Linked DNA regions of Astyanax mexicanus. The protein of the gene in region 1 interacts with the protein of each later gene in a pairwise test. Links are inferred from orthologs where the notes say so. Each region holds a gene or a part of one and is shown on either strand. Other genes may lie near its edges. The genes, in order: zbtb10 and mob3c.

Evidence for each region.
Region 2: the proteins of zbtb10 (region 1) and mob3c interact in binary tests that used the Homo sapiens proteins (3 or more experiments, as listed by UniProt). The link is inferred for Astyanax mexicanus from reciprocal best matches to the Homo sapiens genes ZBTB10 and MOB3C.

The regions. Positions count from the first base shown.
Region 1 is NC_064410.1:44,216,065-44,225,869, reverse strand, and holds the start of zbtb10 (zinc finger and BTB domain-containing protein 10), read right to left. Parts: upstream 4,731-9,805; 5' UTR 4,355-4,730; coding exon 3,635-4,354; intron 1-3,634. Other genes in the region: tpd52 (tumor protein D52), read left to right, coding at 6,733-6,764, 7,209-7,321. UniProt on the Homo sapiens protein: May be involved in transcriptional regulation.
Region 2 is NC_064423.1:17,538,727-17,548,154, reverse strand, and holds the start of mob3c (MOB kinase activator 3C), read right to left. Parts: upstream 4,790-9,428; 5' UTR 4,426-4,789; intron 1-4,425. UniProt on the Homo sapiens protein: May regulate the activity of kinases.

The DNA.
Region 1 (9,805 bases):
TCCTTTCTCCAGATGTGCCACGTGTTAACACCGAGCTGGAGAACAGATGCTTTCAGAGGAGCCCCAACACTTGCTGTCCAAATGAGGCTGTGGTGACAGTCGACTTTTTACGTGGCCCGTTCTTTTCCATGAAAAAGAATTCTTCACCCTCTGACCACTGAATGGGAAAGAATGGAAAAATCCAAACCACGCAGCCTAATAGACTGGCCTCTAGTAGTAAAATAGTAATGAAACTATAAACAACCACTTTAACACAGTTAGATGTGATCTAGAAGCGTTATTAAAAATACAGGGGAAAAAAGACCCTTTCAAACTGTGTCGCACACGAAACCCACAGTGGTTTCTCTGTTTCTGGTTTCACACCTCAGACTTTCGGTTTGATGTGGAACAGGAACACAATACAACCACCACCACTAATACTGCTCCCCATGTTTGTTGCTGCTTTGCGCTCTGCTAGCGACCTGTTACTATGTCATCCATCGGTTTAGTGTAAACTCAAAACATCTCGGATTGTAAACAGGAGTACCCTCCCAAAACGTCAACACATCAGCCTTACAAACTTGTTTACCTCTTAACTCTGCCATGTGATTCTACATTAGGCTAATCATGAAGCTAATCATGCTACAGGCCCTGCACTGTATGTACACGTATGCATAGTATGTGTTTGGATACAGTTTCAGAGTTCATTTGCTGATACTCTGATACCAGTTGGGGATCAATAACACATAACAATAACTATCTCAACCCCCCTTATCAATGGGGCTGAGAGTGTCCCCCCAGACTGGGACAGCAGTTTTGTTTTCTCTGTGCATACCCAACCCTGGGCCAGCCTACCCCTGAGGCCAGAGCTGGGTCCCCTCACCCAGCCCGTCTCACAGATGCACGAACAATGTAGCAGTGTGCTTGACCCAAGGTGTGGGTGGAGAACACCAGGCTCTGGGCCTCCCAACAATGTGGAGAGCTCATCGATGGAGAATTCCAGAGTTCTTCCCCCCAATACACACAGGCCTACATTTCACAAGAGGCAGACAGGGGTTGGGTGGAGCTTCTGTCTCTTCTAAAGCCTCCCTAACAAGAGAAGCAAGGGATGGCAACTTTGAGGACAAAGGCTAGACTCAAGAGCGAAACAACCCAGATACCCCCTATTTGGTTAATTGAGTTACGACCACTGCTCCAACCAGACCTGGACAGGCAAAGATAGTCTGACCTATTGTCTCTGACACTAGGATGATCAGTATAACACACCAGCACAATTATAAAACTCACTTAAGGACTCACGAGCATGCTGAAGAGGTTCTCTTGTTTATTGTTTTTCTAAGAAAAGACATCCTAAACACCACCCTGCACTAATTTACCCCTTTTAAAACCATAGCATTAGCTTACCTTTCCTACGCCTGCCTGAACTGCTCACACTCCTAAAGGCTTTCCTAACTGGCCCAATGACAATTACAATGCAAAAGTAAATATTAAAGCAACTGCGGGTAGCTGTAAGATATCATGATAGATGTTTAAAACAAACACTCCTGCAGAGAAAAGGGAGTTGTGCCAGGGCTGATACTAATCTAAAACAGCGTCTTAACCCTTCTGTTGCTAGGGAGGAGCCCATAATCCCTCCTACTGCTTTCCTCCCTAATTAGTGAAGGGTATAAATTGAGTTAGAGGAACGCTTTAAGTCATCCTGATTAGTATGAACAACTGGCTGCACTCGCAAGGCTATCCTCAGGGATTTTATTAACAAACGAATCAAATTCAGTACGGACGGCCATATATTCAGAGATTCGAGTCGCATGTAGAATTTAAACACATTCCGATCCACCATTCAGAAAGCATGGACAACAGTTTGTCAAGCATTTATTGACAATTTCCTGCTACAGGGCTGAAGGCTCTTCTGAATAATGTGAATAATGGGGTCCAAACGAGGACATAGATTAAAGATTCATTATAAAGCGCTAGGCCTCACCACAGCTCCAAACATACTATCTGAAAATGATCACAGGCACACTATTGATCTCACTTCAATACTGGGTTGAGGAGGGGGGGCACGAGGTCATAGGGTCACATGCTAAATTTATTTATACTTGCCCTCATAGTGATCGGCCAGGTGCATGTCGCACAACGGGCATAGCAGTCACAGGACACTACTCGATTTAGGGGGATTTTGTGTGGACAAGCCGGGTGACGAATCAGCCCTGGATCTTTGAGATGGACCTAAAACAATGCCTTTGATTTAGGAGCCCTAAAGGGGAAGATGAGATGTGCCAGAGGTCACTTTTACAGCCAGGGAACAGAGGGGGGGTTGGGCTGGGCTGGGGCTCCCCAAAGCCTGCTGGTCGAGCTTCTGCCATCACCACGACCTCCCTGGTAATCAACTCAGGTTGCCAAGGCAACTAAGGTTGATAATTGCAGTGCAATGCATGCATGGAGTAAACTGGTCCAATACAAAGGAGGGGAAGTGCACACACCCTTAGCTCTAAACCCAGATTAAAGGGGTTACGCTCAAATGTGACACATAATTCAGTCGGGTGTCCTTTATAAAAAGACAGTTTTTTTTACAGGTTATCTTTAAACAAACCAAGACTATAAAGGATATGTTTATATTTAAGAACTATTCCATTATTTAAGCTGTCATAAGGTTAATATCAAAATGTACAAGACAGAGTGAAAAGTTAATTATAATTACACCTAGGGCTTTACAATATGGATGAAACTAATGTCACATTGACTCATTTTGGTTGATGCAATATCATCCTGATAACAATATGAAAAACTGCTAAGAAAGCCCACAAAAATGAATCTGTCTGTTCTTGTAATATACACTGTAACGTTAATGAATGTCACTCATTGAAATATGCTGTAAATAACGTAGTGAACACTGGAATATTAAAAATGTTTTTTTAATCATACAACCGTTACTTAAACATTTTATATCGTGATATATGAGGATACTGAATTATTGTCCAGCCCTAGTTACACTAACTTACAGTTTAAAACGTAAAGTAGCTAACTAGATATATAGTTAGGTAACTAGACATATAACCTAGCCAGGTTACACGGCTATCAAATATTTTCTAATATTATCGTAACGTTAGACACTAACCTAGCTAACCTACCTTTAAGATAGTTTATTAAAGAGTTTAGCTCACTCTCTGTAACCGTTTAATCCTCACACAGTTTTTAAAGAAGTCAGTAGCCAAATTCCCAGTAACGTATATGTGAACAGCGCTGAAAAGAGACGATTTGAAGACTGTATTCAACTGTCACTGATAAAAATCACAAAGCCAGCTAGCTGGTTTCTCAGGACTGGGAGTGAGCCAGGAAGCAAGCTAGCTAGCGGTTAGCTCGTGTGGTACAAACCCTAGGCTAGGTCAGCTAGCTAGCAACGTTACAATCAGCAGCGGTAGGCTAGTTAGCTTAGCATCTACCTAGCTGGCTAACCTTGCTAGCTAATGGTCTATAGCAGCTCATACTGGTCGAGGAAGACGACAATATTAAAAAGGTTGACCAAATATCCAATATAGCCAAATGTATTAAAGTTTTAATCATATTTTTACAGTATCCTGAGAACGTCCTGGGACCCTGCTAACGTTGACAAGCCCAAACTCAAAAGCTCCGTCCGTGTCGGGAGTAACTTTACCTGTTTGGTCGGGTCGTTCCTGCCGTGCTCCGAGGACAGGTGATGTCTCAGCAGCAAGGCCCGCTTGTAGTTTCGGCTGCCTTTCACCAGCTCGTCGCTGTTGTTAGTGGCAATGTTGTGACACCAAGAGCAAGACATGAGTCCCGACTCTCGATTAAATTTTAGCCAAGGAAACTCCTGCAGCCAGGAGGCTTGGAAAAGCGAGTGTTTCTGGAGCAGCGTCTGCGGTCTCATCTCTACCCAGGGCTTCCTGGCGCCCGCTTCTTCCCGGTCCCCGCCGCTCCCTGCTTCGCCTCGGTCTCGGTCGTCCTCGGAGCCGGTGGCAGCGCCGCTGCCCGCGCCGTCCTCGCTGTTAACGCCGTTGCCTGTCGTCCAGCTCTCGCCCTCCTCCCCCGCGACGTTCGCGTTAGCCGTCCAGCCGATGCTGTCAACGCCTTTACCGACTGTCCATCGACCCCCTTCCGGATCTTCCTCCTCCTCTGCCTCCGGCTCTGTGCTGTCGCTGACGGACCCCCCGCCCTCCACTTTCCCCGGCGACGGTCCTTTCGCTCCCAGATCCCTGTCCTCCTCCTGATCCGGCCTGTTCCCGTTTAAATGCCGATCTTGCCAGGCCTGGGCCTCCCAGCTGTTACCGTTGCTGCCTCGGACACCACTGGAGCCGGTCACGGCTGATCCACCTCCTCGGAAAGCCAGCGACCTGCGGTTTCGTTCTCCGGACATTTTTCCTCAATAAATTAGAACCTACTTTCCCAACGATCTTTATCAATATAATTTACTTTCAGCCCGGCGAAACACGATTACAAATAATCGTTGTTTAAAATGAAATATTCCGCATCGAAATGTTGTGTTTTTTCGCGCTTTGGCCTCCCGGGGAGAGTATGTAGGTTATGCGGAAATAAATAAGGGTTTTAAAGGCATAATGAATTTGAGGGTTTCTGGCTCCGTCCGCGCAGGCCCCGCAGAGGTCGAATGGCAACGACTTTCCCCACAATGCACCTCGCTTCGAGTGAGGGGGGTCGTGGGGCACTTAAAGGAGGATGGGTGGGGGGGTAACTAGAACAGCGAGGGGGGCATTTGTGTTCGCCGAGCGCACCCACAGCTCCCTCCCCGAGCACGCGTTTCATCTTTGGGAGTCGCTTGTCTTGAACTAATAAGTGTGTTGTCCGCCGGGGAGCGGCGTTACTGACTCACTGCGCCGTGTTTGTTTTTAACACAGAGGGAAGAAAAGCAAAGGACAGGTGAGGGGAGAAGCGAGCAGAGCGCAGGGCTTAGTGCACTGTGTTTATTCTTACAGGTAGTGACAGAGGGGACTTTTTGCTCCCTCCCCCTCCCCAAATAAATAAAAAAATAGTATATACTATATAAAAGTGACTTTTGAAAAAAGTGAATTATGAAAAAAGAACAATGCAACACGTACGCACAGCCTATGGATATGGATAAACAGGGGTATATATGTTTTAAAATACACGTCTTAATTAAATTTAAATGTAAAAAATATATAAAAAAATAAATAATTTGAAGTTATTTTGTCATAATACGTTTTATAGGCTGTTGTGGCAATTTGTATTTTACCTAGTCGTGTATGTAGAAATAAAAGTACGTATCTGTATAAATGAATAATTCCTGAATTAATTGTAAGCGCTAATAAATGTTTTTTGTGGAATTGAAACCGTCAGTTTAGTACTTGTTTAGTATGTCACCCAGCAGGTGTCGGGCTTTCCTCTATACAGCATCAGCTCGGTCACAGCTGCGGTTATTACAGAGCCACCGTGCCCACTGTAGGAGGGTACACACACTGATATATAGTTCCTAGTAAATCGAGTTTTTATTTAAATATCTAAAAACCATATATCCAACAAGTATGCTCTCTTAAACACTGTAACACATTATATATTAATATTAAAAACTGCACAGATTTTTGTTAAAACAGTATAAAAAGAGCAACGACATGCCATATTAATTTAAATTAATGGAATAAATGTATGCACACAATCACTCATTTATTGTTTTCTTCATTAATCAACTCATCCCCAACACTTCAAATCATCAAAAATGAGTGGAACAATGTGAAGTGCCAACTTAAAGTGTCTGGATGCACTTATTAGATTTTTTTTCAAACATTTGGAAATATTGCATATTTTATAACATATACAAATTGGTCTTTGCACGGGCCAAAATTAGAGTAAAAAAGGCAATGCCTGATCACCCAAGTTATGTAGTGATAATCAGAAATAGGCAACCTTCTTCTGTTGTTTAAATACACATTTGTGTTTATTATTTAGAATAACTATTTCTCTTGTCCCTCCTTGAACAATTTTAACACTTAAAATAATATTATTTTGAATCTTTTAAATGTGAGTGCAGCCACCCCCCTGGTCAGAGTTGTAAATTACTAATTAAGACAGGTTTGTACACTTGGCTTGTCACTCTATTACTGTACTTGTAAGCAGATGTTTAAGTGTCAGGTTGATGAAAGAACATGTAAGAGAGCTTGAATGATTGGGGCATTTCAGTGTTTTGCCTAAAGCCCCAAAAGTGACTATATCCACCCAGATCGACAGACAGATAGATTAGAAGACTCCTGAGGTCTGATGAAAGCAGCTTCCTCGACGATACGACGAACATAATTTTTCGAGCCTGAAGGTGAAAATAAAGAGTTTAAGCCTTTGTAACAAGATTATTTTCGTGCCGTAGCGCCACCTATCGACTCAAGTGCACTAAAATATATATGTGGGCTCACCACACCCTTTAAGAACACAGAGTTTAGACAGCTCTCTTTCGTTCTCTCGCTGTTTATCTCTGTTGCCCACTCTTGTCCTCTAACCGTTTTTGGGGTGTGGCAGCGGGAATTACCATTAATTTACCATTAAATACCAGAAACTTTTTAAAACCTTTTCTGAAAACGTGCAAATTAAAATGCAGATTAGTTAAACACTGCTGATAGCCCAAGTGACTTCTGCGTGCCTAAAAACAGTGCAATCAAGAAAATTTGAGATTCTACCTCCTGTCATTTTTTGCATCGTGTTTTCTCACAGAGCCCCCTGTGCACTCTTTAGAAGATTTTTTTCCCTCGGAATCAAGGGGTTGGATTTCATGATATGGAGTTTCAAAATGTGACGATAGATTTCCTGTAAGTTCGTGTGGCAAAAGTTCACGTTCATTAAAAACATTAATTGTTGCAATGCAAGCAGACAATAAACGTTTACTAATTATTATTATTATTATTATTATTATTATTATTATTATTATTATTGTTGTTGTTGTTAACCAAATTATTAATGTTTCTCATTTACTAGTTTGTTTTCCTTATTCAAAAAATGTCCATTGAACCGAAATTAATATTGCATTGTTCTCTATAGAGTAATGATCATTATAACCTGTAAATGTATGTGTGCATATTATTATTATTATTATTATTATTATTATTATTATTATTATTATTATTATTATTATTATTATTATTATTATTATTATTTGCACGCCGCACTGAGGTGTGTGTGACCACGTGCCCGTTTCTTTTTGTTTACATGCGTGCGTGCTCTGCGTGATGACGCCACGCGCGGCCCCACCTCAGCAGTTTGCAGCGCGTGAAGCTCCAAACTCCTCGCCTGGAGAAGAGAATCAGCGAAGAGGAGAAACCGGCTCCAACAGCAGCGCTTCACAGCAGCATGGAGGAATCAGAGCAGGGTAAGTTACAGAAAGTTGACTTGTGAAGATATTAATGCGCAGTTTATCCCGGGAGACACTGTTAAAACAGCTGTTATCTCCTGTTTCTGTCTGTCTGAAGTTAGCTGAGGTGGGCTAGCTAGGTCAGGTCGTAGCCATAACTGGCTAATGGACCCCTGTTGCTAAGTTTTCTGCTGGAGACTATAAAGAAAACATTATAGAAAGTGCATTTCTTCAGGACCTGTGAAATGTTCCTAGAAATGTGCCATGTTTTGTTAAAGTACGGAGCAATAACAAAGAAGGAAGTTTCAAAACTCTTTTTGTCTGTTTGACAAGATTTTTTAGATACTTCAGAGCAAATAACGCTTATCTTTTGCTGGATAGAGTTAGCATCACAGCTTAAAATACTTATTTTTTAAAAGATATGAAACGAATTGTTCACTTTTTGTTTAATAGTTTAATCATGTTTAATCAATTCACTGCAGCCTGCAACCATATGTTACGTCCGTTCTATTATTTCATAAGGGTCCTTTGGTAGCTAGCTTAGTTATTTTCTTTTATGAATTGACAAATTTGGCATATCATTCACGAAGTAATTAGTTTAACTAATGTCTGTTTTTTTAGCTTCATAACTGTTGTGCCTTATTTAGAAACGGTGCATTTAACTGGAACTACCACTGCAGATGTTCTAACATACATACAGTATGTGATCATAAAACTGTCATATGGTGTGTGTGTGTGTGTGTTTGTGTGTGTTTGTGTTTGTGTGTGTTTGTGTTTGTGTGTGTGTGTGTGTGTGTGTGTGTGTGTGTGTAACTGATGCTGTCTGAATTTTGTGTTAATCACTGAAGTATCTGAAAATCCAGTTTTGCAATAACAGGAGCTCAGACTGAGATTATCTCAAGGGATGGTTTGAATTGCCTCTTATGGGGTTTTCTTGTGTTAAAAGTCTCAGATTACATTACAGGCACCGATTCTGTTGCCACTAAGTGGTACAAATGTAACTTGGTTTGGGTTTGTGTAATCTGTATTTAATGATTAATATTTCTGATTTATTTCATAATTGATAATGTAAGGCAGTCATGGGCTGTCTAGAAGAGTAAGGACTTTTAGTAAGCCATTTAGATTAAAGATAATTTGCTTTTATTTTTGCATTTCCTGGGACCTTTCTCTCCTGCTGCTACTTTTATTATAAAATTGATCACATTCATTGCTGAATAATTGAATTTATGTCTGGTAAATGAAGTGCTGTGGCCTTCTGCTTTTGTGCCCTTTTGTTTATCCCTTTGAATACAGATTGTGTTTCCTGTTGAAAGTTGCATATTTCTGATGCTCTCTTATAGACAGAAATTCTGTTTCATATGATTGCAGTATCTCTGAATTTGTGGTTACAATATCCTTAACTGGGTGTCAGATTTAGGGAGAGCAATATAAAATAACAATAATAAGTATTTATACCACAAAAGATATTAATACTTAAATAACTCAGATTAACTGTCTGTTTAATTTAATAGTGTAATTAGTGTGGGAGGACATATTGATATTTTATGGGGGGGGGGGGGGGGTTGTAACAAAATTACAACCCTTAACCAACAGGCCCCACCTGAGGCCTACATGTAAGCCTAGCAGTGCATTTAGTCTGTTCACTAACTCAATATGTAGAACACAATCCAACTGTAGCCTGTATTGTTTTGAGGAACAGGTGGATGTTTCCTGTCTTGTTTGTTAGGCTGGATGATAAATGATCTTTCCTGGTGTGCTGATAATGCTGTCCTAAAGTGTTGCTTATGATAAATTATGAAATATGAAACTGTTTTATGGAGATAATTGTATTTTCAGCAGTTAGAATCATTACGTCACAGCAAGCATCATACTTGGTTCTCTTTTCACCTTTTTTCTGTCCCACTCTACTCTTCGCTCCTCAGGAGGCAGCTTATCATCATTCCTGTTAGGTGGCGGAGGTCCGGTGAGCAGCCAAAGCCCTCCTGTGAGGCTCTCATGCAGGGAAGCCATCTGTCCATTCCTTGTCTTTTTGCATACTCACATCTCCCTGCAGCTTCTGCCACAGGACCACAGAGTTATTTTTAGAGCAGACTGCAGGATGGAGGCTGAGACACCTATTAGTTGTCTGCTGTATAGGAGGTATTTAGGTATACATGTCACCATTGAGACATTTGCTCTAAAGGGAAGCTTGTGTTCATGGCTTGAACTGTTTGTAGAAAATAGCATATCCTATTATTGACTGTTATATCTATATCCTGCTGGTAATGCACAATATTTTTTGTCATAATGTTAAATATATAGAATATCTTTATATTTACTGTAAACTGTGCACTCAGGGTGCACAAGTTCATTAATGCAAGCACATTGCTGATATAGATGTGCAAATGATTCATGCACACAGCTTGTCTAGTCCCTGTAGGGAAATACTGCCATTACAATAGTACTCCTTGGAACATGTAAGCCCAAACAGATATGGCACCTTGTTTTGGGCTTGAGGGGTAT
Region 2 (9,428 bases), on another chromosome or scaffold:
AGTCTTTAACCCACTTCCACAGCTAGAACTAGAGAAAATTATCTCCTCTTCAAACAGCATAACCTGCACACTTGATGCAGTTCCCACAAAATTACTAAAGCAGGTACAGCCAGATATAATTAAACCTCTGTTAATGATAGTAAACTCATCACTCACCCTAGGCCATGTACCCAAAGCCTTTAAAACAGCTGTAATTAAACCTCTGATCAAGAAACCAAATTTTGATCCTAGTGTACTGTCTAACTATAGACCTATTTCAAACTTATCGTTTATTTCTAAGATTTTAGAAAAAGCTGTGGCCCAACAACTTTGCTCTTACCTGCAAAGAAACCAAATCTATGAGAAATTTCAATCTGGATTTAGGCCTCATCATAGCACTGAGACAGCTTTAGTTAAAATAACAAACGATCTAATTACAGCTGCCGACCAAGGCTGTGCTTCCCTACTTCCATACTGAATTAATGTTTTTTCCTTTAGATAAGGCTGCAGATTCAGGGGTTCATGGACAGAGGGAATTGTGGTAAACAGAGATGCTGGTGCTGTTGTTCTCCCACTGCACACGGTCACTCAGGTTTGTGGACGGTGGAGTGGGTGGATGCTGGTGTTTCAGGGTGCCTCCATGTCTATGTTACCTTTTGGCTCTCTGCCTTTAGTTAGGCTGTTTTATTCAGTTCTGCCGGAGTCATTTGCCACACTCTGATAATGTTTTATATTCTCAGTTTTGCATAAATCCAGTCAAAACTAATTCCATGCCTTCCTAATTTCTCTGCCTTCCTCCGAGTTACTGACTGCCCACCTGACTGACCCGATACCGATGTTGGACCCTCAGGCTCTCGCGTCTCCTGGCCGGCCAGACTGATGGAAGTTTCTGAAGTCAGCTCTTCTCCACCACCACCACAGATCAGCTGCTCATCGTCCATCTTATTCTCCACTACTGATTACATCCAAGCCATTAGTGGCGCTATTACACTCCTGAATACATAAAACCTATATGGATGTATAAAAGACTTTTTAAATTTTAATTGACCAGTGGTAGGATGGTCCCCCCTCAAATGTGAGTCTTGGTCCTCCCAAGGTTTCTTCCTCCTCCTGCAGCTCTGAGGGAGTTTTTCCTTGCCTCTGCGCTCACTGGGGGTTCTGTATTCTGTATTTTCTATGTTTAATGTTTTGCCTGATTCTTTGTCCTGTAATCATGTTTCTGTAAAGCTGCTTTGTGCCAACACCTGTTGTAAAAAGCGCTATACAAATAAATTTGGTTTGATTTGATATACTGATTTGTTTATACTCTTATTTTTGGTACCATTTTCTCTCTGTTTTTCACCACTTGCTTTGTTTTTGTGGGTCTGGCTGGATGAGATAACAGTCCTTTACTACACTGCTCACCATTCAATTCACAACCCTATTTTCCCCACATATCATTTTCTGTACTTCTGAAACTTTGCATGCATATTAGTATAACCAGGTCATATTGCTCTGCTGACCTGGAGTTAGCCCTTTCATTTTATAGAAGATAAAGCATTCAGCCCTTTCATTTAGCAGAAGATAAAGACGTAAATGCCACTGACCGCTGACTACCAGTGAAATTACCCTCTATCTGGACATCTGTGGGAAACTCATTTAAAATGACTGGAATTGAAACTTTTTTGTTTTCTGGGTCCTTGCCACGTCTCTTTTTCTAATGTGTTTTTCTCATTTGTTAGGTTTAGTCCAAAAAAGACCAGTCACCATGACCTAAAAAACACACATTCTGGTTCCCTAAAAGAACTTTCCGATAGAAAGTGGCAAAATACTTTCTTATTCACTGGTTTTCAATGGACATATTTTAGCTTTTACATTGTTGATTAATCTTGAAATCATCAAATAAAGAGACATATATGGAACAATGTAGTAAATAATCAAGTGTTTCACAAAGCCAAGAAAGGGTTTCATGCATTAGATTGTTCTAAGCCACATTTTGCTTTTATGACAAATTTGCAAACTCAAGCTTAGTGAAGTAATCAGATTGTGAGGTTGTCTTAGAATTGTCTCGGTTTTCCTTCACCCTGTGGTCCAAACCACCTCAGTTGGGTTTGTTTTTTTGTCTTTTTTTCCACAGAATAAAGATTCTCTAACAGTGGCATAATCTCACATTTATGTGTGATCTAGAAAAAAATAATTTCAATGTTACTGTAAATGATATGAGGCACCTATAAACAGACACCAATCAACATCCCATTCCATCATGTTCATGTCATGCACCACCTCACTCCACCCACCTTCCAGCTCCAGTTTCATTTCTAGATTATGCAATACTGGATTTACTTATCATTTTTTATTAAATTACTATGATCCATAACAGGTATAGAACAGCCAACAATGTAATGTATATATTTATATTTTATGAAAAATACATTTTGTCACATTGTGCTCGTAGCATTGAAATATGGAATAATAATGTAAATATCAGAAATACTATCTAACAGTGGGCCACAATAAACCATATGGTCCCTGTCCAATAAAAAAAACACACATCTCCAAAACAGCAACTTTACAGGAGAAAAAAAAACTTAAATTTCAATGGAATTCAATGTAAAAAGAATTAATTTTAGGTAATTTTGAATAATTTTTATTGGTCCATTCATCCAAAAAGTTTTACAGTGTAAGGGACAGTTTGATAGTTCACATTATGTAGTAAATTAAAACTTCACAAAAACGGAAATACTTAGTTTTCATTAGACAGAAAATATACATTATATTACATTAACATTTTCATAACATTTTTTTACTGTAAATGCTATAAATGTTTTTTTATAGACATTTATTTAAAATTAATGTTTGTTTGTTTTTTACAGTGCAATCCTGGCAACCACAGCTGCCAATCTTTTACTGAAAATTGTATGGATTTCTTTTTTAATCTGGAATTAAAAAAAAGAAAAAGAAAATAAAGAAAATTCAAGAAGGTGTGTTCAAACTTGGTGCTGATTACTACTGTTTCTAAGCCAATGCATATTTTCCATTATCAAAGCCAGTCCTTCAAACCTCCTCTAAATACCCGGAACACTGGTCTCACTCTTGTTTGTTTGAATTAAACTAAAGAGACCAACTCGGGCAGGGCAAGAAGAAGTTTAGAAACAGTTTAGAAAGCCCTCAAGCAGTGTAGTGAAGAACACTGCATGTCACCATGAAGGACACTATTGTGTTACTGTAACAAGACCGTTATGCTTCAGTCATAAAGCTCGGGAATAGGAATGAGAAAGTCTTCTATGCATGAGAGCATTCATTCATTCTCTGCAATGTATCGCTTCATATACAACAGAACAATAATTAAGACAAAAAGAAACATTAAGCAGACTGTATGTCCACAATAGTATCTTTATAGGAGAAGGCAAAACCTTTTTTTAATAGAAGTCAATGTAATCTCATTCAAATGTATTTTAAATGGATATACAGTATATTGACAACAACAGTTTTTTTTTAGAATATATTACATTGAAATGCTACAGTCTACCACGACTTCTGGGACTTTTTGAGCATTGAATGTGAATGGGAGTCATTCTGTATGCATGGACAATTCTAGCCAGATGCCGCCCATCACAATTATTACGACCCACTGTACTGTCCACTGTAGGTGGTAATATCTACCAGTAATACACATTCACTTGCCACTTAAATCTGCCTCACAAGGCAACACCTCACATCTTAAATTGATATCCCATGACTTTTGGCATGCCAGTGTATACATACATCCTGCAAAAAGGGTGTTTTTAAGGGTTCTTGAGTACAATTAGCAGTTCTCTGGGGAACCATAACAACACAAAATGCTTGGTTAAACCGATTGAACCTACGGTTGTAGATGGTTCTTTCACATGGAAAAATTATTTTATATAGCAACAAAATCAGTTCAATGGTTAGTAATAGTGACAATATATCCTTAATTTTAATGTACAGAACATACAGCATATAAAAATGTTATTCTGTATAAAATATACTTTTCTTTAGGGGGGGGGGGGGATCTTTAATGGATCTTTCATAAATACAATTGTTTTATATAGAAACTGAAATAACTATTTGAATGCTTAAATGGTTCTTAATAGTGGAAACCCTTTTGTAGTTTGTTCTCTTGATTAACATCTATTCTTTTTTTTGTTTTTGTTTTTTTGAGGTTGGTGGATCATATAATTTATTGGCACAATCTCAAGTATTCATGACCACACATTCAGGCTAGTTTTAAATTCTGTGAATAGATAGATATTAAAATAGATACTTTATTGATCCCAGACGGAAATTCTGAAGAAGAGGGAAATTGTGGATTAAAACATTAATTCTAGAGAAGAACAAGATAAAGCTAAAGCATTTATAAAGGTTCCAACATCAAACCATCTAAGGGAACTTTCATTCAAAGAGAAGCAGAGCAACAGAGAGAGAGAAAATTCCACCCAGCAGTACCTGGCCGAAGTCCCGTTTTGAATGCCTGGAATGCTGTGGGGATCTGTGGGAACGCTCAGGAGAATTTCACTGCCTCCACTTATCTCCCAGAGGACGTGGATCACGCTGGATTTCTCCTCTGAACAAACTCTGAGTCCTCTGCCACTCATCAGCAAACCCGAACGCTCAAAAAGTGCTGGAGAAAAAGCAAAACTGATCCACAAACCAAAAGAAAAGTTGTTTGGCTTCTCTTCCTGTGGTGATGTCACATCCTGATTTTGTCTGCTAGGCCCCACTGTCTCTGTCTATATGAGAGTGACTGTGTGTGTATGTGTGTGTGTGTGTGAGAGAGAGAGAGAGTGTGTGTACTAAGAGGCAAGCTAAAAGGGGATATTTCGTTGGCTGTGGGAGGGGCAGAGGCCTTTGAGGCACAGCCCTTATTTTCTTCCCTCCTCTTTCATCCCTCTCTCCTGCCCACAACCACTACCCATTCATTCTATACACGTGGACTGTATGGAGTCAATAAGCTATAATAACCCACAATAAAAATGCAGGCAGGACAATTAGACATTCTAGTCGTTGACCATATGCAGCATATTATCTTTGTCATAAACAATCTTATCAGAATATATGTCATAAACATAGACACATTAGGAACAACTATAAAGAGCTTGTACACGACATTAACCATATATTATCTTGCAAAATAATCCAACTTCCTTAAATGTAAGACTGAAGTATGCTGCTGGCTTAGGTACTTTGTTGGAAACCCCTTTTGCTGCAATAATAGCTTAAAGTATGTAAATAAAAAAATACATTTCTGATGGCTTAGCAGAATAAGGACGATTTTCACCTGTTTTTTACTAGTACACATGCTCCAGGTTGTTCTGATTGGTTGGGGTCCATACTGGTTAAATACTACCCCTGACTCTTAGTTAGGTTGATATCTCAAATTTGATATTATACCACAGTTAGTTCTGACCCAGTAATGTAATTGGCCGAGGGGCTTTTATGAGTGACATTATTAGCCGGTAATGCACTGTAACCAAAGCTCTCCATGTACTACATGGAGAGTAACCTACACACATACAGGTAACCTAGCAACGATTCTGATTCCTTTGACTTTGCACCATCTTTACAATATATCCCCACAAAATTATGCTGCCACCACACTTCCCTTTTAGATGTTGAGTGTTAATAAATGGGCAGTAAATGTTGGCCAGAAGTCATTAAACCTCCTAATTTTTAATAAGAGGTGGGTTGTGGGTTAGTGAGTTGCTCTAAAACTGTAGGACAAACTCCAGATGCAGATCTGATGTGTTATTTCTTTAGTAATGGCTTTATTTTAGCTCCCAAACAATACTCTATACATACTAGTGCACCTTCACGCCAGTCTCATTCATAATAAATGTATTGCAAATGGAAATTCTCTTAAAACTCAAATAAAAATCTAATATTTTTTTCAAATAAAATTTTAGTCTTTGCTCATATCTAATAGTTTCATTTTTGAAGGATCCAAGGATTTTTTTTTTGTCATTTCACATCACGTGTGGAACATGAGGTGAAACGAAATTGTATTTCCACGGTCCAATTTACACTCAAAGAGTAATTATTCAAATAGATAAATATAAAGACAAAATAATATAGAATAAAAATATGGACCCAAGCAAATGGGGTAGGCAACAGTGTGTAGTGTATAGGTCAGCAAAGGCAAAATATATTTTATATCGGTAAATACATTGCCATTGAATAAAATGACAGCAGTTATTAATAGTGTGTGTTTTCTAGACTTTTTATAGGCAGTGTCTGTTGCTATATGCTGTCCCAAGAACAATTTTCATTTTGTGAAAACACTGAAAACCTTTCATACATAAACTTCACACCATTTAAAAACTTATCTAAACGAGTTCTCAAAATGGACAAACCAACAAATAACCAACAGAGGGGAACATTTCATCTTTTTTTTTTTTTATGTAACAGTTGAATTAAGCAGACATATGGAAAATTCTGTGGAATTCCATTTAAAGTTTGGGCTTGCAACTTGGATAGAAGTGTACAACTAAGTTTCACACGATACACTGTGTGAAAGTGAAGTAAGTAAAACTACATTTTACATAGTACGCCAGTCCTGTATTATAACTGTATGGAAAGTATGTGGATAAATTGGAGGCAAGCTCGACTTGCATAAGAAAACACAAAACTGAACATTCCAGCTCACGCTCCACAACTGTTTACCATCCGTGAAAGATGTTGGACTTGTTTTGTTGTGGTTGTGTGCATATTTCTATTTAATGAATTATGAAGAGTGTATTACTGCAATTTACAGACTGTGGACATCAAGTCAATTCTGTTTATCCTGCAGCACCAGTTCTACTTAGCAAAAACAGCCCACCACACAATTCACATTCCAGACCAAAAGAAAGGATTTTGATACACTGATTGCAGTGTAGAAGAATCACTTTTGGTGCCCCAAAGCCCCAAAAAACTTGCCAATAGATTGTTGGTTAATAAACTAAAATTAAATAAACTGTAAAGATATCTATATAGACCCAATGCTTCTTCACATGTCTAACAATTTTCGAACCCATATGTTTATAACTGTAAAAAGTCCATGAGGAGTTTAATCAACAAGTTACACAACTGTAAAAAGTCTTAATAAATATTTAAGAAAATTTCTTTGCTGTTGCACTTCTATAGCAAATAAATCCAATTAATATATATATTTTTTTAGAATAAGGCAACTTTTAACTTTGAAGTGTGTAATAATTTATTATGTTCTGGGAATAAACTTTAGTTTCTGTATCAGTTTCTTTGATTTTGCTATTTATAGGTATATGTTTGAGTAAAATAAACATTGTTGTTTTATTCTATGAACTACGGACAACATTTCTCCCAAATTCCAAATAAAAATATTGTCATTTAGAGGATTTATTTGCACAAAATAGGTACTTTCAGACCTAAAATAATGCAAAGAAAACTAGTTTATAATAAAGTTTTAAGAGCTCAGAAATCAATATTTGGTGGAATAACACTGGTTTTTAATCACAGTTTTTATGCATCTTGTCATGTTCTCCTCCAACAGTCTTACACTGGATAACTTTATGCCTTTACTCCTGGTGCAACAATTCAAGCAGTTTAGCTTGGTTTGATGGCTTGTGATACATCTTCTTCTTGATTATACTCCAGAGATTTTCATTTTGGCAAAATCAAAGAAACTCTTTGAAACAAATACAAAAGTGAACAGAAACGGAAAAACACTTTTGGCTGTTGTAGTTTAATTCATATAGAATTTCTAATTTTATGGTATTAACTGCCTATTTGCTGGCTTTAAATTATAAGATGAATATTATACAGCAGCATTGAATAAAACAAATAAAACTGCTGTGCTGTTTATAATATTTCTATGAACACAGCATTTATGCAGTGTCTTTTATGCACACATTTAATGCACTGTTATTAAAAAAAAATAAAAATTGTTACATTTTTTTAACATAATCTAAATCTTAAAACTGTTTGTGGTACATGGGTATGTCAATGGATCAAAATAAATAGTAAAGAATTACCTGGATTAAATCTTTTTCCACTGATTTCTATTAAAAGTTGATTTTTTTCCCCTTTACCTTGTAAAATTGCCATTTTGGAGAAACAGGATATTTATATGACATTGATTAAATTTAAGTTAGCATTGAAAAAATTAACAGAAGTTTATATGGTAAGTAAAAAACTGCAGGCTTTAGGCGGTGTGTTTAGAGACATCTGCAAATTCCACACCTTCTAAAAAAAGATCATCTAACTCGGCTCTCAAAATGACTGTGTGTTTGCTGTCAAGAGGCCAAACCAACAGAGGGGGACATTTCATCTCCAAACCGAAAGCAGATTGCAATCAGTGGGACTGGCTTTTAATCTAGTTCATATTGTACTGTCTTTGTTGTCCTTTTATAAGAATTTAGGTTTACAATGGAGAGTGAACACAGAGGGAAACAGAGGAAAGGTTTGAGGATAAGAAAGTACAAAAATATATAAGAAAGAAAGAAAACAGAAATGTGTGAAGAAAGTCAAAGAAAACAACAGTGTAGAAAGAAACAGTGTAGATAAGTGACTTTTTTACAGTCTGTTACACACTGTTGCCTAGTTTTACAGTCAGATTAATTTTAGTCAGATTAGTTTTGTTCTGAGCAGTTAGCTCTGATATGACTGTTTCATTTTCTCGCAACACAGGAAGTAAAACTGGCCAAACCTTCAACACCCCCACTACACTCTTCACACCAGTAACCTTTCCTGTAGCCGTGTTTGATCCCTGACCTACTGAGCAGAAAAAGAGAAGAGTTTAACACATGACCACACCACAGAACATACAGCTTTAACAGCAAGAACTTACAGCGAGTGAAAATGAAACCTCGCTCTCAAGAACAGAACTCCAAAATGAACTTAATCATCTGTGTTAGCATAATAATAACCACTATTTCCACTATTTTGTGGTTAGTTAAATGGTATCTGAGTATTATCACTTTTACTAAAATGTTCTGAGACTGTACGTAAATACAACAAATAGCAAGTCATACAAAAACCCATGACCCTGTGATTCATAAGCAATAGAACACAATCAGGGATTGGCTTCAGGTGGATGACTGACAGCTTTAAAATCATAAGTAAGGATGAGCTTGACAATTTCTAGATGCTTTGGCTTTGGATCAAGAAACATGAAAAAAAAAAACCTAGAGCCAACATGGGACCTGTGTGAATGTAAAAAAGGATTATTTTTAACTGACAGGGGGCAGCACGTACAGTATAGTGTGGAGCTTTATAATGATGAGTTACATTAATTACAATTATAAATAACCCATAGAATACAATGTTATTCGAAAATAAAACTATACCTATTGAGCAAAGACACGTCCAAATAATGGCATTTTAATGTCAACGTTGAACGTTTAAAAGAGGGCCACAGATAATGAAGAATCAAATGTCCAAATTCAATTTTAAAAAGACAGTTTTTTAAGTCTATAATGAATTTTCAAAATATT